7 linked regions of the Coturnix japonica genome follow. The protein of the gene in region 5 interacts with the protein of the main gene of each other region in a pairwise test. Links are inferred from orthologs where the notes say so. Each region holds a gene or a part of one and is shown on either strand. Other genes may lie near its edges.

The links.
Region 1: the proteins of LNX1 (region 5) and ATPAF2 interact in binary tests that used the Homo sapiens proteins (3 or more experiments, as listed by UniProt). The two-hybrid records come from large-scale screens. The link is inferred for Coturnix japonica from reciprocal best matches to the Homo sapiens genes LNX1 and ATPAF2.
Region 2: the proteins of LNX1 (region 5) and GRB2 interact in binary tests that used the Homo sapiens proteins (3 or more experiments, as listed by UniProt). The link is inferred for Coturnix japonica from reciprocal best matches to the Homo sapiens genes LNX1 and GRB2.
Region 3: the proteins of LNX1 (region 5) and MAPK9 interact in binary tests that used the Homo sapiens proteins (3 or more experiments, as listed by UniProt). The link is inferred for Coturnix japonica from reciprocal best matches to the Homo sapiens genes LNX1 and MAPK9.
Region 4: the proteins of LNX1 (region 5) and KHDRBS3 interact in a two-hybrid assay, tested with the Homo sapiens proteins (2 studies listed by BioGRID and IntAct). The link is inferred for Coturnix japonica from reciprocal best matches to the Homo sapiens genes LNX1 and KHDRBS3.
Region 6: the proteins of LNX1 (region 5) and DAB1 interact in binary tests that used the Homo sapiens proteins (3 or more experiments, as listed by UniProt). The link is inferred for Coturnix japonica from reciprocal best matches to the Homo sapiens genes LNX1 and DAB1.
Region 7: the proteins of LNX1 (region 5) and TSSK3 interact in binary tests that used the Homo sapiens proteins (3 or more experiments, as listed by UniProt). The link is inferred for Coturnix japonica from reciprocal best matches to the Homo sapiens genes LNX1 and TSSK3.

The regions. Positions count from the first base shown.
Region 1 is NC_029529.1:5,012,479-5,016,467, reverse strand, and holds the start of ATPAF2 (ATP synthase mitochondrial F1 complex assembly factor 2), read left to right. Parts: upstream 1-1,189; 5' UTR 1,190-1,511; coding exon 1,512-1,611; intron 1,612-1,983; exon of another isoform or gene 1,984-2,308; coding exon of another isoform or gene 2,309-2,384; intron 2,385-2,587; coding exon 2,588-2,632; intron 2,633-2,966; coding exon 2,967-3,112; intron 3,113-3,540; coding exon 3,541-3,638; intron 3,639-3,989. Other genes in the region: GID4 (glucose-induced degradation protein 4 homolog), read right to left, coding at 834-1,046. UniProt on the Homo sapiens protein: Plays a role in the assembly of the F1 component of the mitochondrial ATP synthase (ATPase).
Region 2 is NC_029533.1:9,398,553-9,402,052, forward strand, and holds part of GRB2 (growth factor receptor-bound protein 2), read right to left. Parts: intron 3,172-3,500; coding exon 3,074-3,171; intron 2,426-3,073; coding exon 2,303-2,425; intron 590-2,302; coding exon 421-589; intron 1-420. UniProt on the Homo sapiens protein: Non-enzymatic adapter protein that plays a pivotal role in precisely regulated signaling cascades from cell surface receptors to cellular responses, including signaling transduction and gene expression.
Region 3 is NC_029528.1:4,157,953-4,161,889, forward strand, and holds the start of MAPK9 (mitogen-activated protein kinase 9), read right to left. Parts: upstream 2,801-3,937; 5' UTR 2,687-2,800; intron 2,452-2,686; exon of another isoform or gene 2,027-2,451; intron 1-2,026. UniProt on the Homo sapiens protein: Serine/threonine-protein kinase involved in various processes such as cell proliferation, differentiation, migration, transformation and programmed cell death.
Region 4 is NC_029517.1:129,027,221-129,030,720, reverse strand, and holds part of KHDRBS3 (KH domain-containing, RNA-binding, signal transduction-associated protein 3), read right to left. Parts: intron 2,694-3,500; coding exon 2,547-2,693; intron 1-2,546. UniProt on the Homo sapiens protein: RNA-binding protein that plays a role in the regulation of alternative splicing and influences mRNA splice site selection and exon inclusion. Binds preferentially to the 5'-[AU]UAAA-3' motif in vitro.
Region 5 is NC_029519.1:59,301,542-59,305,041, forward strand, and holds part of LNX1 (E3 ubiquitin-protein ligase LNX), read left to right. Parts: intron 1-2,528; coding exon 2,529-2,666; intron 2,667-3,500.
Region 6 is NC_029523.1:23,150,053-23,153,552, reverse strand, and holds part of DAB1 (disabled homolog 1), read left to right. Parts: intron 1-279; coding exon 280-411; intron 412-1,166; coding exon 1,167-1,286; intron 1,287-1,807; coding exon 1,808-1,846; intron 1,847-3,139; coding exon 3,140-3,205; intron 3,206-3,500. UniProt on the Homo sapiens protein: Signaling adapter of the reelin-mediated signaling pathway, which regulates the migration and differentiation of postmitotic neurons during brain development.
Region 7 is NC_029538.1:4,558,913-4,562,327, reverse strand, and holds TSSK3 (testis-specific serine/threonine-protein kinase 3), read right to left. Parts: upstream 2,046-3,415; 5' UTR 2,033-2,045; coding exon of another isoform or gene 1,997-2,032; 5' UTR 1,996-1,996; coding exon of another isoform or gene 1,946-1,995; 5' UTR 1,830-1,945; coding exon of another isoform or gene 1,738-1,829; coding exon 1,593-1,737; intron 1,237-1,592; coding exon 575-1,236; 3' UTR 501-574; downstream 1-500. UniProt on the Homo sapiens protein: Serine/threonine protein kinase required for spermatid development and male fertility.

The sequences.
Region 1 (3,989 bases), on a different chromosome or scaffold from region 5:
CAAAGCCCAGCACAGGGACCTGGATCCCTGCTGAGTTCCAGCCAGGCCTGAAATACAGGCTGTCCCACTGCTCGGGACTTCCTGGGCACCTCCCAACACGAGGCAGGATCCCACCCTTCCTCATGGCAGCCCAGAGGCACACGGGCACCCCAGGCCTGAGGGGAACGAGAAGGAGAGTCCTGCTGGCAATAGCAGGACATGGGGAAATGGTTTTAAGTTAAAAGAGGGAAGATTTAAGTTGGATGTCAGGGGGAAGTTCTTCACTAGGAGAGTGGTTAGGCCCTGGAACAGGCTGCCCAGGGAGGTTGTGGATGCCCCGTCCTTGGAGGTGTTCAAGGCCTGGTTGGACGGGGCCATGGGCAACCTGATCTATGGGGTCTCTATGGGGATCTATGGGGTCTCCTGGGCAACCTGATGTAATAAATGTGTATGTTTGGTGGCCCTGCCAGGCAGGGGGTTGGAACTACATGATCCTTGAGGTCCCTTCCAACCCGGGTCATTCTGTGATTCTGAGAGCTGCTGTTAAGTATCTCAGCAGCCACAAGGAGAAAAGGGGCAAAAGTGTGAGAGGAAAAGAGAGGAAGGACCCCGGGTCCCATCAGCCCTGAGGGGATGGAGCAGTGAGGGGCAGTGAGAGCCGGGTGGGGGCTGCAGGAAGGGCCGGGGCTGCAGGGAGGAGCTTATGGAGATGGGGGGGATCGGGGCCGGGCGGAATCAAGGCGAGGGGAACCCGGACAGCGGGGAGCAGAGGGGAAGGAAGGGAAGGAAGGGAGGGAAGCAGGGAAGGCCTGAGGCCCAGCGGGGCCCTGTGGGCGCCGGACACGGTCCCTCACCTGCATGACGACCTCCACCTCGTACGCGTTGCCTTTACTGCGCTGCTGCCCGCGGAACTTGGCCCCGCTGTACAGCAGGGATGTGGCCACTCCGGGCTGCGCCGTGTTGATGGGAGGCGGCGGCACCAAACTGCTGGCGGCCGCTCCGGACGGAGCCGATGATGCCGGTCCCGCCGCTCCGCCCGCTCGGCCCCGCTCGCTGCGCACCGGCATCTCGGGGGGGTCCCCGGGCGCCAGCGTGGCCGGGGCTCAGCGGCCGCCACCGGGGCCGCGCTCCGCTCCGCTCCCCTCACGCCCAGGCCGCCGCCGCCGCCGCCTGGCTCGGGGCCTCCCGGCAACGCCCCCGCGCTCTCCCATTGGCCCTCGCGAAGCGGCGAGAAGGCGGGGCGGAGCTCCGATTGGCGGAGAGCTCTCCTTCCCGGCAGGTTTTACGGTGAGGAGGCTGCTGGGAAATGTAGTTTGTTCGCCTCGCGCCTCACGCGACGGGAAGGCCGAAGGGGCAAAGCGCGTTCTGTGCTCCCATTGGGCGGAGCGGGGCAACATGGCGGCGCCCGGGGCGACAAGCTGAGCCGGGGGAGGCCGCTCCGAGCCGGGGTAGGCCGCAACGCTCCAGCTCCGTTCGCCGCCCCTCATCGTTCCTCTCGGCTCCTCATCGTTCTCTTCGGCTCCTCCGCCGCCATGTGCCGCCTCCTGCAGGCCCTGGGCCGCATCCCGGCTGTGGCAGCCCGGAGCCGCCCGCTGTGTCCGGGTGGGAGTCGAACATACGCCCCTCCCGCAGGTGAGGAGCTGTGGGCCCCGCGGGGAGGAGCCCGGAGCCCCGTGTGAGAGCGGGGGAACGCGGGGGGTGTCGGTGTGTGTGTGTGTGGGGGGGGATTAGTGGGAGCCCCCTCCTCAAGGTCAGCTCTTGCTGGCTGGGGGAGGGGTTGGGTTCCGGCCTTCAGAATGGGCTGAAGAAAGGAGGAAGAGGGAAAATGGGCTCCGAGGTGGGTAAGGAGGTGGTGGGGCGTCACTGCGCTGCTTTTCCATCAGTGGGTTTGAAGGTTCCCTTTGGTTGCGGGTGGGATGGCGGGGAGCTCCACCAGCCCCTCCCAGGCACGTGCTGGGCTGTGCAGCCCCTCTACAGATATTGCTGGAAACACGAGGATGGGAGTCAGGGTTTCATTGAGTATCATGAGGCCAATGGGAACACGCTGAGGTGCCTGAATCCTCCCAGAGCTGTGCTCCAGCACTGCAGCATTTCCTGAGGCCCTGAAGCTTGTAGGAGGCTGAGTGGATCCCCATCCTTCTCTCTGCTGGGCCCGTGTTGGCAGGGCACAGTTCAGTGACAGCCAGGAGGTGGATTCAATGGGCTCAGCATTTACGAGCTGGTTGTAATTGTCAAGGGAATCTTCTGGGTGAGACGTGTGGGCTGCGGTGAGCTGAGGACAGTGGTTCCTCCCCAGTGACTCAGCTGCCACGTGCAACGTGTCTGACACATGATCCAGTTGCTGCTGCACATAGGGTTCATGGTTCCTCCAAGTGGTGTCTGCAAGAAATCTGCTCCTATGGGTGGTCAGGAGATCTGGGGCATTGCTGTGGATGTCACCAGTATTGTGACACCTCCCAGGTTGAATAGAACTCACTGGAATGGAGAGGGGCTTGAATGAGTGGGATTTTGTGGCTGTTCTGTGGGCTGCAGCAGCTCTGAGGGCTCCCTGTGTTCTGACAAACCTCCCCTTGCCACCCTTTCAATTGCTCTGTTTTCAACCCCCCAGAGAGGAAGCGGTTTTACCAGAACGTGAGCATCTCACAAGGAGAAGGTGAGTGGAGCTGCTGGGGCAGGCGAGGGCTGGTACTCACACGGGGGTTACCATCACAAGGCAGTGCTGTGTCTGCAGCCCCTGTTGTGAGCTGGGCTGTCTGTCACCCACATGCTCTGCCCTTGTCCTCATCCATAGTAAAACCATGTGGTGGGAAAGTTTCCAGCATCATCTGGGGAAGAGCAATGTCAAAACATTGATGTTGGTGGGAAAATTGCTGATTCCTTGCTCCCTTCAGCTCCAGCTCTGAGCTTGTTCCCTCTATGGGGTAGTCTGTTGTTCCTTAGTGCCTGCTCCTCTTTAATTCCCCAGGATTTCTACTCTGATTCCCCAGGAGGCTTTGAAATCAACCTGGACCACCGGAAGCTGAAAACACCCCAGGCCAAGCTCTTCACTGTCCCCAGTGAGGCCTTGGCCATTGCAGTGGCAACAGAATGGGACTCTCAGAAAGACACCATCAAGTTCTACACTATGCACCTGGTGAGCACAGCAGGTCAGAGTGCTGAAGCACAAAAATGGTCTCCAGAGGCAGAACACAGAGAGAGACCAGGCTGTCCTAATGTCAATTGAAGTGGGAACAGGAGTTCAGTGCCTTGGCTGAGTACTGTGGATAACTTAAGGCTGAGCAGGCAGCTGGATGCTGGCTACAGGACTGGGAGGGAAACCCGTGTCACTGGGGAGTTTGAGAAGGGGATGGAGAGCATTTCTGGGGATAGCAAGGGGTATGAACAGGTTGGATAGACTCTATTATATGAGCCATGTTCTGACTCTATGTTTCCCTCTTAAGTAAGCTCCTTGATTCTTGCAGTCTGTCCCAAATTCTTCTGCTTATCTTGACCTAGTACACTGGAAACTGCTGCTTCCTTGAGCTTTAGATAACAGTGATTTCAGTTGCCTTTATCCTGCAGACCACACTGTGCAACACAGCTCTGGACAATCCCACTCAGCGAAACAAGGTGCAGCTGATCCGTGCAGCTGTGAAGTTCCTGGAGACTGACACTGTCTGGTAAGGGACTGCGGGATGCACTGGCACAGAGGTGGGGTTGTCTTGTTGTAGAGTGGTTGAGAGAACTGAGGGAAAATGTCTGTTCTAACCAAGTCATTGCAGGGCTCTGCTCTGTCCTGGCTTTGGCCCAGGGGTTTGAATTAGTTTAGACGAGTCCTATGTCCACCAACCTAGTGGAACTCCATGCATTTAAAGGGCATAGATACAAAGAACAGGGACCTGTTTCTTTGTTGAAATCTGTTTGGAGATGTCCATGTTGGACAGGGAGCAGGAGCAGCAAGAAATGTAGTGGGAAAAGCAAAGAAAGGCTTGGGAGAATGTCAGCTCAGTCCCCTGGCACTCCAGTAGCAT
Region 2 (3,500 bases), on a different chromosome or scaffold from region 5:
GGCAAGACTACTACCAAAATTTCACTGCTTTTGGGGGGGGGGGGGATGGACGGGACGGGACAGTTCTGGCTATGAACCAGTACATAACTGTGCTTTCTTACTGTGTCCTAAAACAGGAGTAAACACCTTCTTAATTCACAGGAATTGGATTATCTTATTTCAACAGTACCCAAAAACATTAACACAAGCCAAATGTTCAGGCAGCAACAGTAACACCACCAGAAATGGATACTAAGTTTTAGCAGGTAGGCTGTGCACAAACATCCAGATTATTTTCCAGTACAACTCTGGCAGCAAGATCCAAAAATAAACTCCTACAGGTAAAAAGTCAGCTTTTCTCCATCACCATCAAGATACAATCCCAGATGCAACCCATGGTTGCATTAGTTTAAATATGCTCTGAACAAACAGTTCTCTTACCTGTGGCACCTGTTCAATATCTCGTAGAAATATTTGCTGGTTCCTGGAGACAGATGTGGATCTGTGATAATCTACCAGCTCGTTCAAAGAATTGAACTTCACCACCCAGAGGAAATACTTGCCAGCCCCATCTCTAAGCACCTTGAAGTGCTGCACATCATTTCCAAACCTGTGGGAAATGAGCAAACAATACAGAGAAGAACACAGTCACTGAGCACTCTTCTAGGATTGTGAGACTTTACAACACAAAAATCATTCGGGACATAGCTGGTGACAATGATTGCAGGTATCAATTGGCTGCTGTGAAGCAGACCCTTGAAAACATACAAAAAGTGCTGGGAAAAGAACTGCCACAAGTACGGCAGGACTGTCTCTAAGCATGGAGTTACAAAAAAAAAATGATGTATTGCAAAACAGACAGACTTTTCCACTTCTATATTTTGACATGTGATGGCATTCAACTTTTATTCTACGTAAAGTGCAACTCCAAAGTTTTTCCAGATGAACAGCACGTTAGCATTTTTACTTTATTCTGAAACAAAAACACTGAAAATGGGTGAGGAGTACATTCTCCACCTGGCATCAAGAGCTTAAAGTGCAGGCATAGTCTTGGCTACAACGTTAACATGAAACAATCAGTGAGTACTGCCTTTGCTGTTTCCTCTTCAACCTGAGAGATTCTCATCATTTCAAATCTTGCAAATCACTGTTTGGGGGTGAGTGGAAGAAAGCTTTTTCTAAATTAATCCACCAGGAAAAAAAAAAACCAAACTACCACCAGGTGGCAACACTAAGCTGACAAGATAAGCAGAGCTACAGTCAAAACCAAGTTTCATGAAGGAAGTTGATGTCTGCAATGGAGCTCCCATTCGTATCTTGTATTCCAGCTCAGATTATTGTACCCAGCAGAACTATAAACACCTTTCTAAAAAGAGTGGTTTTAATTCAGTTTGTTGGCTGGATCAAGACTGGTGTACAGGATGACAAAATCTGGGTACAGCCCAAAGATGAGCCAAAAATACAGCAAACAAGGAACTGTGCGTGAATAATCAATATAAGATACTAAAGAAAACCCTGTTCATTTCTGGAAGGAAAGGGGAAGGTTACAGAAAGTTAAGAAAGATAAAAATCAGCTGCTGAGGATGGAATTCCTTCCTTCCTATGCTACCTTACATCCCATACTCTTCCAACTTTTTAATACTTCAATTTATGGCGGCTTATACAGAGCTGTGAGATGGTTAAACATGGCTCACATGTTAACTATCAGAAATTGCTGCTGATTAAAAGTTAGCATTTCTAGAAATGTTATACAAGGATGGGAACTGTTCCTGCCTACCTTCAATGTTACTAGACAGAAAGAAATTCCTCTATATTGAAATTCCATTAATGGAATGCATTTGAGAAATGGAAAAGAATTTGTTTTCATTAGCTCCATGTCCCAGTGCTGGCTAAGATGAATATCCCCAAAGCATGTGCCAAGCAGTCATGAAAAATATTTGGAAGTGTATTATCCAAAGACAGAAGAGAATAATGACTTGTTCTATGGAAGAGGAACAAAGGAGGATGGAAAGCAGTATGTACAAACTGGGCAGTTCATAGTTGGAGGAAGGAGAAATGGGATCCACAAATTAACAAATAGTGCCTGAAAACACTTAAGTCAGACAGCAACACACCACCAAGTCAGCCATGTAGGCTCATTACAAAACAGAGCTTATCTGTACTTCCTCTTTAATAAAGACAAAAATACATTATCACCAGAAGAATAGGTATGCTATCTTGATTATTGCCGCTCCTCAGCACTGATAATCACTTATCTATCCAGGAGTCAAAATGAGCATCAAGTGCCCTGATTTCCACACGATTATTTCTGGGCACTACTTACTTGACCGAGAGAGAGAAGTCCCCAGGAGCACTCTCGCTCTCCCTGATAAGGAAGGCACCATCGTGTCTCTGTTTGCCTAACATCTCTTCAGCCTTCGCTCGGGGAATCTTTCCGAAGAACCACCTGTGGAGTAAGCAAGAAGAAAACAGAGAAAGTTAAGGAGTTGAACTGTCTTATGGAAGAGCCCAACACAGGTATCCCCACGGAGATCAGATGAATTCTAGCAGAAATGACTGAACTGCATCTATTTATTGTTAATCTACTACAGGCTACCAAACTATGCAACTTCTCACATTTTGTCCTAGCAGTGAAGCTACCATGATTTCATGAGCACATGCTCACAATAGCCCTATTTCATCTAATTTAGGGAAGCAGAAATGCAGTAAGAGTGAAATCCTTAACATATAAAGGCATTTTCAATTACTTTCCTTCTAAATTCTCTTGAAAAAATACTTACACCTCCTTCCAACAACACTGACACCAGCTCTAAGAAAAGGAATGCTCTCTTTCTTACACCTGGTCAGCTGGCTGAAGTTTGTTTTTGTATGCCCTGCTGGACTACTTAGAGAGCTCTTCATTATTGCTCAGTAAACACGATAGTATACAAACTTTTTGTAATTTCCTCAGGTTGCTAATGCACTAATGAAGACTTCCAGCACTGCTGACACATGATCCAGATGCCATCAGCAGTTTAAATGTCTTCAGAAAAGGTCAATTTATCTATGCTTAAAACCAACCAAACACAGGCACTACCACCAAGGCTCTACTTACGGATGTGGTTTCATTTCTATGTAGTTCTTGGGAATGAAGCCATCTTTTCCATTGAGTTCTGCCTTGTACCAATTCTGATCACATTCTTCATTCAAAACCTGAAGGAAACAAAAAAATAAGCTTACTACATTTCAAGTTCCAGCAAAACAGACGAAGACACAAGCTTATTCTTTCCACTTGTGTCTCAAAGATTGTTCATATAAGACGAGCCCTTAAAAACACATAGTCAGCCATCCCAATCCATCACATTTTATCAGCCTTCAAAACAAGGTGGATCAATAATTTATAATAAACTCCATGCATTAATACACAAATCATTATTTCAAATCATACTCTCTCTAGAAGTTTTGTTGCTTTATTTTTCATTGCTTTTCTGCCAAGCGGTGCAGTGCAACAGACAAGGCAGGTACACTGACTAAAAACAGCC
Region 3 (3,937 bases), on a different chromosome or scaffold from region 5:
GAAGTTATGGGCTCTCCCTCTCTAGATGTTGGTGCTACACTAAAATCTGTCTGTAATTAATTAGATGTAGGTAATTACACCTGAGACTGAGGTAGTGGACACACATAATTTCACATGCAACATAATAGGTAATGCCATTACAGCCCAGACTAAACTACAAAGCCAAGAGTTCCCCGAAACAGGAAATGAAAGCAGATCACCTCCCCTATAAGCAGCTGGCCTAACCACCCAGCTGTGCTACATCACTTGTAGCTAAAGAGAGAGCAGTTATTCTCTCCCTCTTCACCAGTCTACAGAACAGTGGAGAGCCCATGCAAAGCAGAAGAGCCTCGACAGCAACTCAGAAGCACATCCTGGAAGGGCACAGGGCTACATGAGCAGCTTCTAGCAGCTTCAGGAATTAGAATATGGGCCTCTCTCAAGTAAATACTCAATCTGGTCATCTCTAGCTGCTATTAGACAGTAAGGAATGAACCCACTCTTCCTGTCTTTTATCATTCCAGAGCTATAGACACTGATGCACCACAGTTTTTGATTAACAACCCCCGATCAGCCCTGGTATTTTCTGTATATCTCCAAATGCTGGAACACAGACACAGCTGGAAAGACAAGACTAAGGAAAAGGCCAAGATTCTCTCTCTGAAAAGGGCTTAAAGAGGGGGAAAACAGTGCAGATGTGGATTACTCTGGAAATCAAATTAGGCCTGTTAGTTATGTGGGATCTATGCTGGTACTCCTTTATGGGTTAATGAAGATCATTGAAAGAAAGAAGCAGAGGGAAAAGGAAGTGATCCTGATCCAAAGAAACCTCACTGTAAGAAATCTCATCTGTACAAAGTCATCACTTGGAAAAACAGTTTAAAGACCAGGATAAGCTCTTTAGATAAGACCCAAAGAGGGATTTGTGAATCACAACACACAAGCTCTATGTATTCTGACATCCTCTGGAGCTCACTGTGCTGAGCACCAAGCCCCTCTCTGAGCCCTATGCTATGGGCTGCACGCTGCTTGGTTAGGACTCAGGTTACTTCAGATATACAAACTAATGCAAAACTAAATGCCACGAGACTGTAAGTATTGACATAATTTAAGTCTCAGTGTCTATTTGGGGGCTAAACCCACTGAATAAGGTTGCCCATCAACAGGGAAAAGTACATCTGACAAGTAAGTTTATTAAACCCCAACTGTTACACTGCTACCCGAGACCATCTGATTCATTGCTCCCCTTAGCAGGTACATAATGCATCCCACACATCTCCCATGCAGGAATCCTTTGAGAAGTTGGCATTACTTCCATGTAGGAAATGCACATTTTCATTCATGGCTTCCGAGCTGCAGCAGACAGGAGCAGTGCCAGACATGGGAGTCATTCATTCATGGGACAGTCAGCAAACATACTTCTGCATATTGATAAGGGCACTCAATTACGGTGCTTCAAGATAATTTTCCTATTTTTGAGCACGCATGAGAGGCAGATAAATTGGGTGCAGGTTTCTGTGTCTGTTTTAATAATGGGCTCATACAACCAGAAAAACTAAAAAGCACAAAGCTGATTTTACTCTATGCATAGAGATCACAAGCGCTTACAAAAGTGGTGTTCAGCCTCAGTTCATGCAGAGTAAAACAATCAAAAAGAGGAAAACAGACACACCAAACCTACCCCCAATGAATGTATCAGCTGTCATACAGAACTGCAGCAAGGAAGTATTTAGGGGTTGGAAGCAACCGCACTACAGTGTATGTACACACTGCACCAGTCACCTCTGCAAAAGGCACCTATTAAAATGGCAACTTATTATTAACCAGATCCATTCCCTGGATATTTTCCACGTCAAAAGCTTCTGAAGCAAACAGGTTGGAACAGCTAGGAACATTCCCTGCGCTGTTTTGGATACAGAAATGTTATCACGATGAACATCAAGAAACTGAACTTCAGGCTAAACTGCACTGGAGACAGAAAGAACCCACGGAGCACACACACACACACGGAGTATGAAAAGATAGGGAAACCACACTGAATATTCACCTTTACAAACGTACTCTGCAAATTAACCAATACTGGCTTTATCCGCTCAGTTCTCTGAGAAGCACCTCTGTCTTTAACCGGCCGAAGCTATTAGTGAGCAGATCACACCGACAGCCACCAGCCCCGCTGTCATTTAGCTGCTAAACAAACGCCGAAAGCAAATACTGGCTGCACCTCGGCCGGGAGACGGAGGGGAAAAGTTCAAACGTGTGTGTGCCGTGCAATTATTGCGCTGTGAAATCACGGAGCAGCCGTAGAGCCCAGCGAGCTCACGGGATTCCTTCACTCGTGCGGTTTCCGTCGCGGAGCAGCACAGCGCGGCCCCCGCCCCGCCAGCACCGAGCGCTGCCAGGGCCGGCACGGGGCGCTGAGGGCAGGGGCAGCGATGCGGCACGGGAAGGGCGAGGGGCACTGCACGGCCGACAAGAAGGAAGGGGCCCCCAGCTCGGCCCCTCCGCCTCCTTCCCCGCTCCGCAGGGCCGGGCCCGGGTCAGCGACACGCGGGGAAGCCCGGCCCAACCCCGGCTGCGCCTCGGCGGGCGGGGCCCGCGGGAAGAGCCAGGGAGTCCTCTCGGCACAGGGCCGGGGGGCTCGGCTCAGATCGGGGAGCTCCGGCTCCGGCCCCGCCGCCCGCACCGCCCTCCTCGCGGCCTCCCTCACCGTCTCTCTCCCGGTCAGGCTCCAGCGGGACGGGGCGCGGCGCTCGCGAGCCGCGCAGCCACCTCCGCCGCCGCCTGCAGCTCCTCCGGCGCGCAGGGCCGCCACAGCCACAATGGCCTCCCGGTGCTCCGCGCAGGCCGCGCCAGGCCTCAGCGCGCTGACGGACAGCAACTCTGACCAATCGCGAGCCCATACCGCGATGCTCAGCCAATGGCAGGCTGGAGGCGGGACAGAGCTGGCGCTATATAAGGCAGGGCAGCGGGGAAGGACCGCAGTGGGAGCGGGCAGGCTCAACCAATCCAGGCGCGGTCTCGGCCCTCCGGCGTGATGTCATCACCACACGTCAGCTTGTCACCGCGCTTCTGACGTCACCACAGGGCAGCGGTGGCACCAAAGTGGGACTGTAGGTGGGACTGTCTCTCCAGCACAGCAAAACAGGAGCATTTATTCAAATACACCCATAGTGCTCTTTACCAAACATACGTGCCACACGTGTGTTTTCTTATATGGTGATGTTCAGTTCTTGACATAACACAACAGCCCTCCTCCTTCTGGTGTCAGAGCATTGGTGCATACAAATGACTAAGGGGAAGGAAAAGAAAAGCCCCAAGACAAGAAGAATCTGTATAATATTTTCTTTAATTGCATATTAATTACATTGTACACACTTCAATCATAAGCACCTTTTGGAAGGTACCCTTATTTTGGCAGTTCCCTTATTTAATTGCCCTGTACAAAGCAGGCAATGAGATACAAAACGCTGCTGGGCCTTCTCATGGTGTTACAGCTGAAAGCAGGAGGAGGAGCTAAAACACAGCTGAGAATTGACAGCCACAGGAACTCTTTGCAAAAGGTGGTGAAATACAAACCAGGTGTAAACCATAGGAGAGGGGGGTAGGAAGATGGGAGGAAGAGAAGAACCTATTTCCAGTTTGAGGATGTAGTAGAAAAACCCCTATAAAACTGTACACAAACTTGCCATGAGCGCTGAGCATGTCAGCTCATTATTACCAATGCTATCGATAAGCAACATACTAAAAAAATAACTTAAGAAAAGCTATACAGTTGTACTTATAAATACTTTATCTTTAAAACTAGTTAAGTAGTGTAGGCTAAAAAAAAAACGTTCACAGTTACTCTGAAGAGAGCTGTATATATATATATATTGCACAGTAGAAAAGTTCATTCAGTATATCATGTGTAAACAATGATTTTTATCTTATCCTTTGGCAATTTTGGGACTTAGAAACA
Region 4 (3,500 bases), on a different chromosome or scaffold from region 5:
TATTCAGCATCTATACATATACAGTAAGTATAAAAAATATGTATAGCTACTTTAAGAATGAAGTGATACTTCTGATAAAAATCACTCTTCTGCAAATCTTTCCATTTCAAAGAAGGATGGCTTGTACAAATACTACTGCTATTCAAGAATTCAATACTACTGCTATTAAGAATTCAGTTCTGAAATCAAAAGAGCTTCATCTCTCCCCAGAAATCTGATTTTTGTTACAATTAGGTACTATGCAGATACCAAATGACGATAAGACAGCCTTTCACTGGAGAACTCCTGAAACAATGCTGCACAGGAAGATTAATACTTCTGTAAATTCAAAGATCTCAATTATCCTTGGAACATTCTCCTTCCCTTAAACTTCTGCAAAGAAAATACAGAAGTTTTCCTTTACATGCCATTTATGAACCACTAAACTGAGAAATCTGTGGCACTATACAAACATTTTGTCTAGCTACTGTTTTATAATAGGATCTGAAATTTAAATCACAACTGCCCCTTTAAGATCATTCTCTAAATAGCATGAGAAACCAGCTGGCAGAAGATGAGGAATAACTGGAAGACTGAATCAACAGAACTGTTTCAAGAACTGCATATAAGAAGTGTCTGAAATATATATTCCATTGTAAAACCAATGCCCAAGATCCAACAAAGTCACAAAGTCACACTACCACAAGGAAGAGGCAATAAGTATTGCTCTGATAACTACTGAACAGAAATCCAGAATGAATTCTGGGTAGATTAGAATCAAGCACAACACCTACAAGTCTAGCAATCGAAAATGCTATTGACCATAAAGTCTGACAAGAACAAAGCGACTGAGTAATTTAAAGGAAAGGAAGAGAACATACCAAAAGACAGATAAGAGTCAAGGCAACTCGATGAGCACAGCCAAAAAAAACCAAACCCAAAACATCAAATGCTTTTATATCTTACTTTCAGTCATTCTGAAAAAGTTATACTGCTGCAGGTGTTGAAGGCTCACCTTCAGTGTAAAAGTGATTGACCGTGATCTAGAAAGAGTAAAGTGGCCCATAGTATTTTACCATACTCAGCTGAAAGGATATTTCATATTTTACACTTTACCACCATCTGTGATTGCATATTCAGATCTGATCTGGAAATTGAAAAACTTCCATAAATCAGGATCAGTATATAAGAATGCATAGTCAGCTGGCACTGTTCAGAACAAAAACTGAAATCATATTCTGAAATCAGGTCTTCTTTCTGGAAGAAAACTGATAGTTTGCCTAGAAGCCACAGCAGATCATACAGGAAATAAAATCAAATAGCATTTGGCAGCAGTTAGCCCAATATTTATTACTTCTAGAAGGGACAAAGCCAGTCCCTATAACTTCACAGGGATAATGCTGCAAGCAGTTGGGGAACAAGAGATTATGGCTTTTAGAACAACCGCGATAAGATTACATTTGAAAAGCCAAAGGGAAATTAAGTCGTGATCTCATATTTCACAAGAGATCATGCAGTTCTGCTCAGTACAATCAAGGCAATGATCAAAATGTGAGTAGAAATGTCTAATCAATAAAAAGAATTGTTCATTATCAGTCTAATTTTGCTGGTTTAATGTTAATAAGGACTATAATTTGCTAAGTATGTTCATTATGACATAAGGTAAATTAAGATCAATGAAGAAATGAGATTTGCACAGGAGTCAGACATAGACTCTGAATTCAAAAGGCGTTTCTTATCAAATCATGGGCATTTTCATCTAAAAACAGCTGTTTGCCCACAAAAGCAGACAAGCTCCTTATATCTTACTGAGAAGACACTTAAGCCTCCACACAAATTTGAATCATGTAAATATAGTAACCTGCTACATTAAAACGACTCAGCATTCCTACAAATGTTCTGCTGGTTTTCCCTTACATCATCAGTTTGTTTGTCTGAACAGAAGTATATGAAAAGAGGTAAAAATATATGTAAAAAAATCTACTTGGAACTCTTATACATATTTTTGTTATTTATATATATATATATACATAGTATATATATATGTATATATATAGTAGCGTTCTCAGGTCCAGTTGCTTCACTCTAGAGCAGAACTTGCAGCTCCACTCAGGCTGTAGTGGCCATACAGAACAGGCATCAAACTGGTTCTTCACTACACTGACTAAACACAAATATCTGTACTACTGTCACTCCCAGACATGCACTTTTGAAAAGTCTTCTTACCTAAATCTCCCACATTTCAAAGATCTTATACTATTCAGGAACAAAATTTAGCAACCTTATCAGCACCATATAAAAAGAGAAGTGAAATCAATACACCTTGAACAAATATAGAAACCAAAGCATGCTCATTCAATAAAACTGATTTCTCTGAATTCTGTGTAGCAACTTCCTACACAGAAGAATTGCCTTGTACATTAAAAACTATTTTCCTGGGATTATCAAGATATGAGAATAATAACTTCAATGAACATCAAGATGAATTACCTTATGAACTGATTATTCTGCACCATTTTATTACTTTGATCAAAGTCAAAGAAGGAAATATAGAAATAAATACTAACAGGGATGAGAAACTTCTTGATTTCTTCTAACGCATGCCCCATTCTGGCATATGCTTCTGCTGGTGGAGCAAAAACTTCAATTAAAACATGAAGGTCATCATTTAGGTGGAAGTATTTTGCCTCTCCGCTTTTTCTCAATTCCTCCTCCTAAAAAGAACAGAAAAAGGTGGGTTTTCTATTTTTTTTTTTTTTTTTACTTTATCATTTTAAACATTTTAATGTAGGTGTTAGATTTTCTTTGGATGCATTTATGCTTACTGTCCACGTTTAGACAGCAGCAGCTAAAAAGCCTAGAATTTTATACTTTTCTGACACACTTCAAACAAACTTGTTGCTAAATGTCAGAATGTTATCAATTTGCTTATCAACACTAGAAGCCTAGTAACTCAGAAAAGGACTCAGCAGCTCCTTCTCATATACAAGAATGTTAATACAAGGCAGAAAGCTTTCAGTTTTCCCCAAGTGCGCCAGTTTTATGTGGGAAACAAAAAGAGAAATAAATAAGATAAAATGGAAAGCTTCTTTTCTCAAAGGTAACATCTTTAGAAATAGGTTTGTTCCACTATTCCACAATAGCAAGATCTTTGCCAGTATTATTTCCATCTCTTAGTTTTAATGCACTCCTCAAATGCTGCTCATTTATTTTCCATTCTCACTGAGATGGTGTGATCAATGAGTTTCCAAAGAATAAATGGGAAGTGTGGCCAAAAGGCTGAAGGAAGCGATTCTGCCCCTTTTCTTCCTGCAGTTATGAGATCCTAACTGCAATATTCTCTCCAGCGCCGGCTCCCAAGCATAAGAACATGAACTTTGAGCAATCTGGTTTAGTGCAAGGTGTTCCAATAGGGTAGGAACTAGATATGTAAAGGTCCCTTCCTACCGCTTTGAGCACTGCTTAGACAGCAATGACTAAATTGCTTGTTTTGGTACCTGCATTACTGTCAGATAGAAAAG
Region 5 (3,500 bases):
GACAGAACCCTGTCAGTTGAGATCTCAGAGTGTGTCACTCTGCACATTAAGGTCTTCAAATTAACAGTGCTACATGCTTCTAAGATGTGATTGGCTCCTTTGAAATCAGAATGAACGTTCACTGATATGATAAAAGATGGTAGTGGTTTATTATGCCAAGTACAGCTGGGAGAACTTCTGGGTTCTGCAGAGTCTGATTAGTTTTGACTGCTAAATAATGAATAATTGGGAAAAATCTGATTCTTCAGGCCTGTAGTGATTATACATCAGCATATGCAAAGCGGTTGTTAATCAGGAGATTAGGTGTCAGCCTGTTTAGAAGGTCAGTCACGAGAACTGAAATGAAGATAACATGTACCTGCTAATTAAGAATGTACGCACATCGTAACTCTTGGGATCTTGCTGCTCTCTGTTTACCACATCATCTTTAGTCACAGTCTTGTGTCAGATGTGGCACTTTTTGATCTAAATAACGTGATGTCCCACATCTGTTTCATGTGGGTGCGACATGAAAATGACCAAGGTGCCAGAAGAGTGGGCAGTTGTGTGAGGACATCAGCCCTATCTGCTCGGTTGGGCCAGGCTGCATGGCTGCCTTGTTTCCAAGTGACTGCTTGGAAGTTGTCACTGCGTCCCTGCCTCCCTGCCAGCTTGGATGCAGCCATCTTTGTGCAGAGGTGTTTCTTTGCAGCCCCTTTTGGCTGCTGTTGTGTTTGAACACTGCACCTCCAGCAGCACTGGGTGTCACACAGCACAGGTAACTGGAGGTGTTTCAGGCTGCTTTCCCTATCCCAGGGAAATACCTGCCAAAAGCAGAAGCAGAATCAACCCAACACAGAAGTGACCCTTAGAGGATTATAGGCCAAAGCTTTGCAGAGCATTCCCCAGTCTGTCTTTGATTTGCTTTGACCATAACGCAGATTTTAATTCTAGTAGATTATTTCCATTGTTACTTGTATTCAGACTCAAAGCAAACCTTATTACTTTAATTCTTGCTTTAGTGTGAAGAGCAGAGAAGGAACTGGGTAAACCAAGCAGTAAAGGGGAAGGAGGGAGGGAGAGATCAAGATGAAACAGCAATTAATATTCTGATCAGTAGAAACGGTTCTGGGTTTGTGTATGGAAGTATGTAAATACAAAAGCTAATCATCTTGTTTGGATAACTCTTCAGAACACTCTGGTCTGGACTTCTGAGAAATTACTCATCTTGACTGACCTGGAGACAAACGTGACATTGCAATACTCTTGTTGAACTTCTGTCAGTTGGTCCTCAGAGAATTAGTCACGTTTACAACCTTCCTCTAAATAACCAACTTTGAGACGAACCATGTGGCAGCAGATGAGCTTTAAACAGAAGCTGCATAAACTGAAGTTGTTTGTTTTAAAGAAAACAGTATTTTTGTGGGGTCATATGCCCATAGGAGATTTGGTAGCATGATGTTCAGCTACAATTGGAGCATCCTACAAACTAGAGGTCTTGGGGTGCTTTCCTTTCTCCCAAGAGACAGAAGCCTACTTCTGGGTGCTCCACCCCAAGAGCAGGAGGTAGCAAGCACTGGAAATGTGGCACCCCGGGAGCTCCAGAGATGCTTGATGGGGTTTCCAAATTAGATCCTTCATAATGACCCACACACAAGCAGATAGGACTCCCTCTAGAACCAGCTTCTAAGACCTGCTCCTACAGGTCTTTAATCTAGAGAGAGGACAGATTTCTTTTGTATTCTGGGTATATTCCTATAGCTTTCAGGCTATTCCTATGCTTCCCTTCAGCTGGGTCAATGATAGAAAAGAATCACCTGTACACAGAATCAGTAAAGCCAATACCAGGTAAACATGGAGCACCTGAAAACAATGAGACTCTGCAGGGAACATGACTGTTGTGCAGAAGCGTTCTGAGCTTATTTTGGGTTAATTGCTTTTATACCTCCTGTTCCTAGAGTGAGAGTTTGAGCTGGTTTCCCAACCCAAGTGCTGTTACTCTATGTACTTGCTTGTGCCTTTTTATTCTCTGTGTACCGGCACACTAGGATTTTATCTCTCCAAGTGGTGACTCATCCCTTTTTTCAAGCTACCTTACGTCTGCTGTGTTTGTTATACACAGGTGGGCTCTGTAATGCTGTTATTCTCCACCCTCACCAGCCTGAGCTGCAGTATACTCCTTGTTACAGCACTAATTGTGGTGTGTCTCTCTTGCAGCAGGCACATTGCTGGTCTGCTCTGCTGCGTGCAGGAGAACGCAAGAAGTGAACAGCGATTGCATTACCATAGGTCAGGTCATTACTTGCGGCCAGATTTAGGGCAGACAGAAAGATTTTTTTGAGCATTAACACTAAATTTTCAAGTTTTAGGTAGTTGGCAGTAAGCTTGTATGACCTGAACTGGTACTACTTCTTCGTGTTAATGCAACTGCTGTGGAGGGAAATCCAAACTGAGCTTAAACGGGATCTATGTTTGGTGACTCCTCCCTGCTCAGCTTCTTCTGAGTCATTGCAGCAGAGTGATGGGATTCACCCTGTGCTTTCTCTTAGGCCAGTGAGCGGCATGTCCACTTTGTGGTATCACGGCAGACCAGGCAGCAGCCCCCTGACATCTTGCAGGAGACAGGATGGAGTTACAACAGCAGCAGCCCCCAGCCCTGTCCTGCTGAGAGGATCAATGCCAGTAAGGTGAGCCCATATCTGCTCTGCTGTCCTTGGGAAAAGGGACCTCAGGGTGGCTGACATCTGGGGGTCTTGTGGTAGCCTTTCTGGATCCTGTCACCAGTAGTGTCATGTCTAACTCTGCAATTGAAATGTAAAACTGTGCTCCTTATCATTTGTGCTCTAGGAAGTGTGTTTTTGCTCACTTGGTTTGGGGTGAGAAGGGGAAGAGAAGGTGAAGGGGGTTGGTGAGGCAGCAGTGTGATGGGCATGGAGCTGGTTTTGTTGTTAGTTTCATTTTCTGTGAAGTCTCAATCCCAGCTCTTGGTAAGGATCAACAGGAGTTAATCATGGAGCAGTCAATTCCTGGTAGCCACTAGCCAGAGGTAGTAGTGCCCAACTAATCATGTGTCTGCAAAACATTACTAATGAAGTAATGCTTTCCTTAAGGAGATATGAGTAAGACAGCAATTATCTCATGTTGCTGGTATATGATTTTTAGTGATGCTCAGAGCACCTGCTAGCTCTACCATGGAGATCTGATTAATTGGTACCATGTGAGACTGTGCTGTTTGTTTTTCATACACTGCCCTTAGATCCCCATTTTCTCTTCCTATACCGAGGTATTAGACAAAAACTGGTACATTTGACATTATGTATTAGACAAAAACTGGTAAATTCAACATTATGTGGGGGATCTATGAACTCAGCAGGCCAGCGCTGACCTTGCATCTGTCCTTCTAAGGCTAAAAATATCATCTTTTGTTGAACAGACCATAGCTTGTGAGTGGATTTCCAGTTGGCCCCAAGAGATGCGTGCTCCACTGGGGCATGAGTGGGCTGCTGTGGGCTTCTGCCTGG
Region 6 (3,500 bases), on a different chromosome or scaffold from region 5:
TTAATTGAATTATATCTCAACAGAAGATAGAAAGAAAAGTACTCAGTTGATGCTTTTCTTGTCAAGTTATTAAAAATAAGTCACGTTTGGCCAGACTTTGAAAAGGGAACAGGCATAAATAGTTCAGATGTTAATTGATTTTGACACCAGGGAATGTCGGTGTTTTTAATTCCATAGGTGCACTGAGATCCAGGTGAAGCACAGGTGGAAGGAAATAATACAGATTTAATGGAACATTTTGATGGGTATTTCTTCCTGTGTTTTCTTCTTTTTTAATAGCTATTACAGCACCACCACGCAGTTCATGAGATATCGTACATTGCAAAGGATATCACAGACCACCGAGCGTTCGGGTATGTGTGTGGAAAGGAGGGAAATCATCGATTTGTGGCAATAAAAACAGCCCAGGCAGTAAGTATCAAATCATTGTCATTTTCTTCATCGTAGTTCATAGAGTCATATCACAGGATCATAAAATGGTCTGGGTTGAAAAGGACCACAGTGATCATCTCGTTTCAGCCCCCTGCTATGTGCACCAACCTCCAGACCAGGCTGCCCAGAGCCACATCCAGCCTGGCCTTGAATGCCTGCAGGGATGGGGCATCCACAGCCTCCTTGGGCAACCTGTTCCAGTGTGAAAAGCTTCCTCCTAATATCTAACCTAAACCTCCCCTGTCTCAGTTTAAAACCATTCCCCCTTGTCCTGCCACTACCCACCGTTGTAAACAGCCATTCCCCCTCCTATTTATACGCTCCCTGCAACTACTGGAAGGCCACAATGAGGTCCCCCAGTAGCCTTCTCTAAGCACAGCAAGGCCAGTTCCCTCAACCTTTCTTCATAGGAGAGATGCTCCAGCCCTCTGATCATCTTAGTGGCCTCCTCTAGACCTGTTCCAAGAGCTCGGTTTAAGGGCTGTGTTCATAACAAGCTGTTCAGGAGGCCCATCTTGTATTCTTTCTGTGTTTGGGGTTTGTTTAAATGTTCTTAAATGGCAAATTAATGAAATCATCTTGGGGGAAAAAAAGGAAGAAAAAAAGAAAAAAGAAAGAAAAATGGAATATACTTCACTATTTACAATTATTCTTGATGTGATTTTTTTCCTACTATTTGGTTACTATTTTACTTTCCTCCATAGAAACCTTTCACAATCCTCTTGTTTCCATAGGCTGAACCTGTGATTCTGGACTTGCGAGATCTGTTTCAGCTCATCTATGAACTGAAACAAAGGGAAGAAATGGAAAAAAAGGCACAAAAGGACAAGCAGTGTGAACAGGCAGTATACCAGGTACATGCATAAGCTTAGACTACTGCCAAGGAAAAGGCAGTTTGAAGTATCCCCCAGAATTGCTCCAAAGAGGCACTAACAGCTATTGTGAGCTCAGAAGTAGGATTAAAAGGTGATGAAAGAGGTCACCTGGGGTAAGATGAGCGTGATTGGCAGCTTGAAATGTCCTGCTCCTTTCCAAGACAGAGTTACTTCTAGTTGAAGGGGAAAGCTTTAATGAAGGCCACTGTGTTGCAAGTTGGGTTTTTAACAGCGTCTTGTAGGGGTGATTCATTAAACTTCTGAATGTGTGCATTTGAGTCAAATCAAATAAGGTGCAGGTTGCTAAACTCTCATGAAACAAGAATAGTGTTACTTTGTAGAATAACTTGACTTTATCTGCATAATAAAGAAAGAGAATTATATACTTACCTGCACGTTTTGCTTAGTTCTTTGCTGTCCTTTAGTTTCTGAATGCAGTTCTTTTATCTCTGCTGTTTATGTTCTTTGCTTTTACTGCCTGTCCTCTTACTTTGCTGTAGACAATTTTGGAAGAAGATGTAGAAGACCCTGTATACCAGGTAATTTCTGAAGCTGCACGGCCTGGGAGTTTCAGAAATGACTTAGATAGATGTTATCTTCAAACACAGCCAGAGCCTTTCACAAAGTGTTTTGAAATGTATTGAGATAGATCTCATGAGAGACTTCACTTTACAGCAAGTAGCACGTTCAGGAATTAAGCTGTAATAGCACAGCATTTCTGCATAGAAATATTAGATTGAATATATCTTAAAATATACTTTCTGAGTTGAGATTTGAAGTTTCCCACTGAGATTTGTCATTATTTCCTTATTTTATTCTTTTTTAAGACGCAATCTAACAGAAAAGGGAGCTACTTTGAAAATAAGGAAGATGACACCTTGTTTTTATAGCAATAAATTGATGTCTTGTTGTTGGCTTCGATGCAGCCAGAATTTCATTCAGAGGGCGAATATTTGTTAAAAAGAAACACGGAGGAATTAATGTTATAATGTACTCCCTTGTTGGCATTTTGGGTTATGATTTAATAATACATCTGTAGTTTAAGTCCTGTTCCATCCAAGCAAAATGCCTGGGAGTAAAGATAATGATCAGAAATATGTCAATATATTCATGTCTAATATCTTGCTGAGTCTGAAGAAGAAAAAGATGTAATTTCATTCTCGTGTTTTTGTGCTGAGATTTGTGTTTTGTGGAGATTTTGTGTTCTTCCACTTAAAAATACCAGTTGGAGGCACACTGAAAGAAACCAATTCAAGCATTAGTGACTATTGAGCACTGTCTAAGGTGTTTCAAGGAAGATGAGAGGAATTAGGATGCCCTAAATTAAATTCAGCTTTTGTAATGTCAGGAGTTTTACTTTGTATGGTGGTTCCTCACAATAAAACAAGAACCTGAAGATGAAATGCACTGTGGCTGCCTTTCACTGTGTGGTATGTTGCACAAGCTCCAGCCTGTTCACCCAGTTTGCATTTAGCTTTTTTATTCATAGATAATAAATACGTGTGGAAATAATTGCCATTATATAAAGGAGGCAAAATGCACGATGACTTCAGAAAATTAATATCAGACCACAGGCGGTATCCCTAGTGAGAAAGAATTAGGAAGCTGCTCTAATGATCATTAGAGGAGATTTAGGTCTATTCTCTGCCGGTTTATGAAATATGAAACAACCTTACTCTGTGCTTTCCAACAAACCAGTTGTCTGGTTCCATCCAGCCTTTACTTTGAACTTGTTTCTTTAATGCCTGCCTGTGTTTTTATGTGGAATTCCAAATTGCCTTTTTCCCTCTGTTTCATCTTTGACTTTTCCTCTCTGGCTGCTGGTGTAATAGTACATTGTGTTTGAGGCTGGACATGAACCAATCCGTGAGCCTGAAACAGAAGAAAACATTTATCAGGTATAAAATCACTGCTTCCGTGTTTTCATTGCAACAATTGCAAGCATTTAGTAAAACACATTTCATATATAATTCGCTTTTATTCGTTTTCATGCATCACAAACAGTGTCTGACATTTCATTCTTACGACCTTACATGATTAATCTGCCAGTCTCTGTGTATTTATTTGTTTGTCTGTTCAGCTTCTGCAGGTTTTATGAACTTTTATCTGTAAGTTTAGCCAAATTGTGAAGGGTTGAGCACACCATATAAAGTGATCATTGGTAGATCCTCTTTTCTCCTTTTAATTCTTCGA
Region 7 (3,415 bases), on a different chromosome or scaffold from region 5:
GCACTGCGCTCCCTGGGCTCAGGGTGACCCAGGCTGGATGTGGAGCTCTGGGCCGCGCTGCTCTCATGTCTCCTGTTTTTCTTTAGTCCCACTGACCGTCTGGTTGTCTGTGCAATATTCTCTGTTTATTCCGGAGCCTTTTGTAGCTGGGGTGGAAAACCAGGAACAATTCTAACATCTGTAGTTTTGTAACTTTCTCCAAACCTTTTACAGACTTGCAGTTAACAGCAATTAAAGGAATTCCGCACTCACCACTGTGTCCTCCTTCCTTTTCCCCTGCCCTGGGCTGGGGGCAGCTGCCTCAAGGGGATCAACTGCTTTATGTTTCTGCTTTCCTCCCCCTCATCCCAAGGGAAGTTTGCCTACAGGGGGTGGGAACATGGGGCTGCTTGGTCTGTTCTGTTCCCTGCTGAAGGCCGGGGGTTGGGAGGGGGCAGGTAAAAATGGCCTAAAGTGAAGCAGCCCTCAGCTCTGCCTTGGCAGCACACGTGAGGCCGAACACGTGGGAAACACATCCAAATTTATTGGCATCCTCGAAGCAATCTGTCCCCGGGGGGGAGCAGCCGAGCGCTCCTCAGGGTCCGGCCAACCAGGGGTGTCTGCTGAGCCGCTCCACCGACGGCCGCAGCACCATGTCTGGCTCCAGGAGCCTCTTCAGGAGGTCCTGGCACGGCCTGGAGACCTCCAGGTGCCTGGGCAGGGAGACGCCTTTCTGCTGCTGGCACAGCATCTGCGGGATGTTGGTGTCGTCGAAGGGCAGGTGGGCGCACAGCAGGACGTAGAGGATGACGCCCAGGCTCCAGATGTCGCCCTTGCAGCTGTCGTGGGGCACCCCCTGCAGCACCTCGGGGGCCGCGTAGGCCACGCTGCCGCAGAAGGTTCTGCTCAGCTCTCGGCTGCCCACGGGGAGCTGCTTGGCGAAGCTGAAGTCCGTCAGCTTCACGGTGTGTCCCTGCAGCAGCGCGTTCTCGCATTTGAGGTCGCGATGAGCCACCCCGCAGCCGTGGCAGTAGCGCAGCGCCTCCACCAGCTGGCAGAACAGCTCCCTGGCGCAGGGCTCGGGCAGGGGACCCCTGTGTGCCACGTAGTCGAAGATGTCCCCGTTCTCGGCCAGCTCCATCACGAGGCAGATATTCCCCTCCGCCGACTCCAGCACCTCGTACACGTGGATGATGTTCTTGTGGTCCAGGCGCTCGATGATTTGGAGCTCCCGGGGCAGGAACTTCTGAATGAACTCTGCCAAGAGGGGGAAAATTCACTCAGTTCCTGAGCTGCTGAGCCCCGGCATCGCACCGGGCTGCGGCCACAAAGTGGGAAGGAAGAAGGGTTGTGCCAGGGTGCCTGGCTCCAAGCAGGGCCCTTGTCGGAGGGGTCTGAGCTGTGCTGCTTTTGGCCACCTTATGGCTGGAGGAGCCGGATGGACACCCCATGGCCTGGCTGCTCCGAGCTGCCCCCAGCACCTCCCTGCCCCCAGCACCTCCCTGCCCTTCCTGCTCTTGGGTGGAAAGTTTGGGAAACTCATTTTCTGCCTGGAACTAAAAGCTTCCAAGGAGGGGTCGGTACCTGGGAGCTCTTCAGGGGCAACTTCTTACCTTCTGGACTCGCCCTTTTATCAATGATTTTAATTGCTACTTTCTTCTGGTGCTTTTGGGAAAAGGCCTCCTTCACCTTGGAGTACGTTCCCTCCCCAATGGTTTGGCCGAGCTGGTATCCGCTGGCGAGCAAAAACTCCTCCATGTCCTCTCACAAATCGGGGCCGTTCAATCTCAGTTTTACCCCCAGCAACTCGACAACAGCATCGCAGCAGCCAGGGGCTCCCCGTGCTCCCTGTTGGCACGTGTAGAGCCACCAGGCCCTGCTCCTGCCCTGGTGGGAAGGGGCATCGAGGCGCCTGTTGTAGCATGGGCGTGTTATTGTGATGCAGCCGATGCTGCATGAATCCCAGATGACGGAGGTGCATCAAAGTGGGCGACAGCTCGGCCAGGCAGGGGGGAATTGGGCTGTGCTGGGCAGGACCTGCTCGGTGGGCACCGTGAGTACAGGGGGGTCACAGGGTCCATTCTGTTCCTCTCCCGTTTTCATCGGGGTGTGGCGGGGGGGCTTTAGGAGCTGCTGCTCACACAACACTTTGCTGCTGCAGGGAGGGGACCCCAGGCTGCGCCCATGAGCTCAGAGCTGTGCTCACACCGACCCACCGCGGCCTCACGTCTGAGCTGAGTGTGTCCAGCTGCTCCGGCGCCTGCAGCCCAACCAGGCCGGGCTCCTTCACAGCAGGAAGGTGCCGGTGCCGGGATCGCAGCCAGGCCCCGCTGCAGCTCCCAGCTGCTTCTCCCTGTGCAGAGAAAACCGGGCCGGGCCATGAGCTCCCAGGAAGCGCCGCGGGCCCGGAGGTTCCCCATCGAGGCGGGCGACTGTTGTAGTGCGGCCGCAGCTTTGGAGACACAGCAACGGGTGGGCACAGCGTGGACTGCGGGCAGGTGAGGGTCCAAAGGGGCTCCTGTGATGCTGCAGGTTGTGCTGTACTGTGCTGTACTGTACTGTGCTGTACTGTGCTGTGCTGTACTGTGCTGTACTGTACTGTACTATGCCGTACTGTGCCGTGCTGTGCCGTCCCTCTGACCCCTGTCTCCCCGCAGGCAGTTGCGGCGCTGTCCCGCCAACCACCGCCTGACGCTGCCGCACATCCCCATCAACGTGTTCATCGCCATGGGAGGGAACTGCCGGCCCCGCAGCACCTGAGCGGCCCGTGATGTTTATGCACTTTGTAAAGAAAGGCCCATCCTAACGCGATCCCCGCCTGCTGCTCCTTGTGTGTCCGGCCGTGCGGCCCAACGCGTCCCGTGGGCTCCCGGGGCCGCCGCTCCCGGCTCAGCTCGGCCCGGGACGGAGCTCGGGGCTGGGGGGTGCAATGGGGGGGGTCGTGTCGGCGCGTGGGCACGTGGCGGGACACGAGGATCCACGCGGGACCCGCGGCCGCGAGTTGAAGCCCGGCCCCGCCCCGTGACCCCGTTCGGGGCGTTGCTCTCCGCTCTCGTCCCGCCGCGGTCCCTCTCGGCCGCCGTCCGCCGCTCCCCGCCCTCCCGCTGCCGCCGCCATATTGTGGCCGCCGCCGGAACGTCCGTGTCGGGATCCGCGATGGGTGAGAGCGGCGGGACCGGGCGGGGCGGGATCGGTACGGTACGAGACGGCGGGGCTGCGGCCGTGTCCGCACTTGGCGCTGCCGGGCGCTCGGTTGGCGGCACTGACTCAGCCCGGGGCCGGCAGCCCCAGCGCGGCCGTTGGGCTCCGGGGCGGCGGCGGCCGGAGCTGCGGGAACCGCGTGTCGGTTGTGTCCGTGTGTCTGTCGGTGTCTATCCGTGTGTGTCCGTGTGTGTCCGTGTGTGTCCGTGTGTGTCTGTGTCTGTCCGTGTCCGTC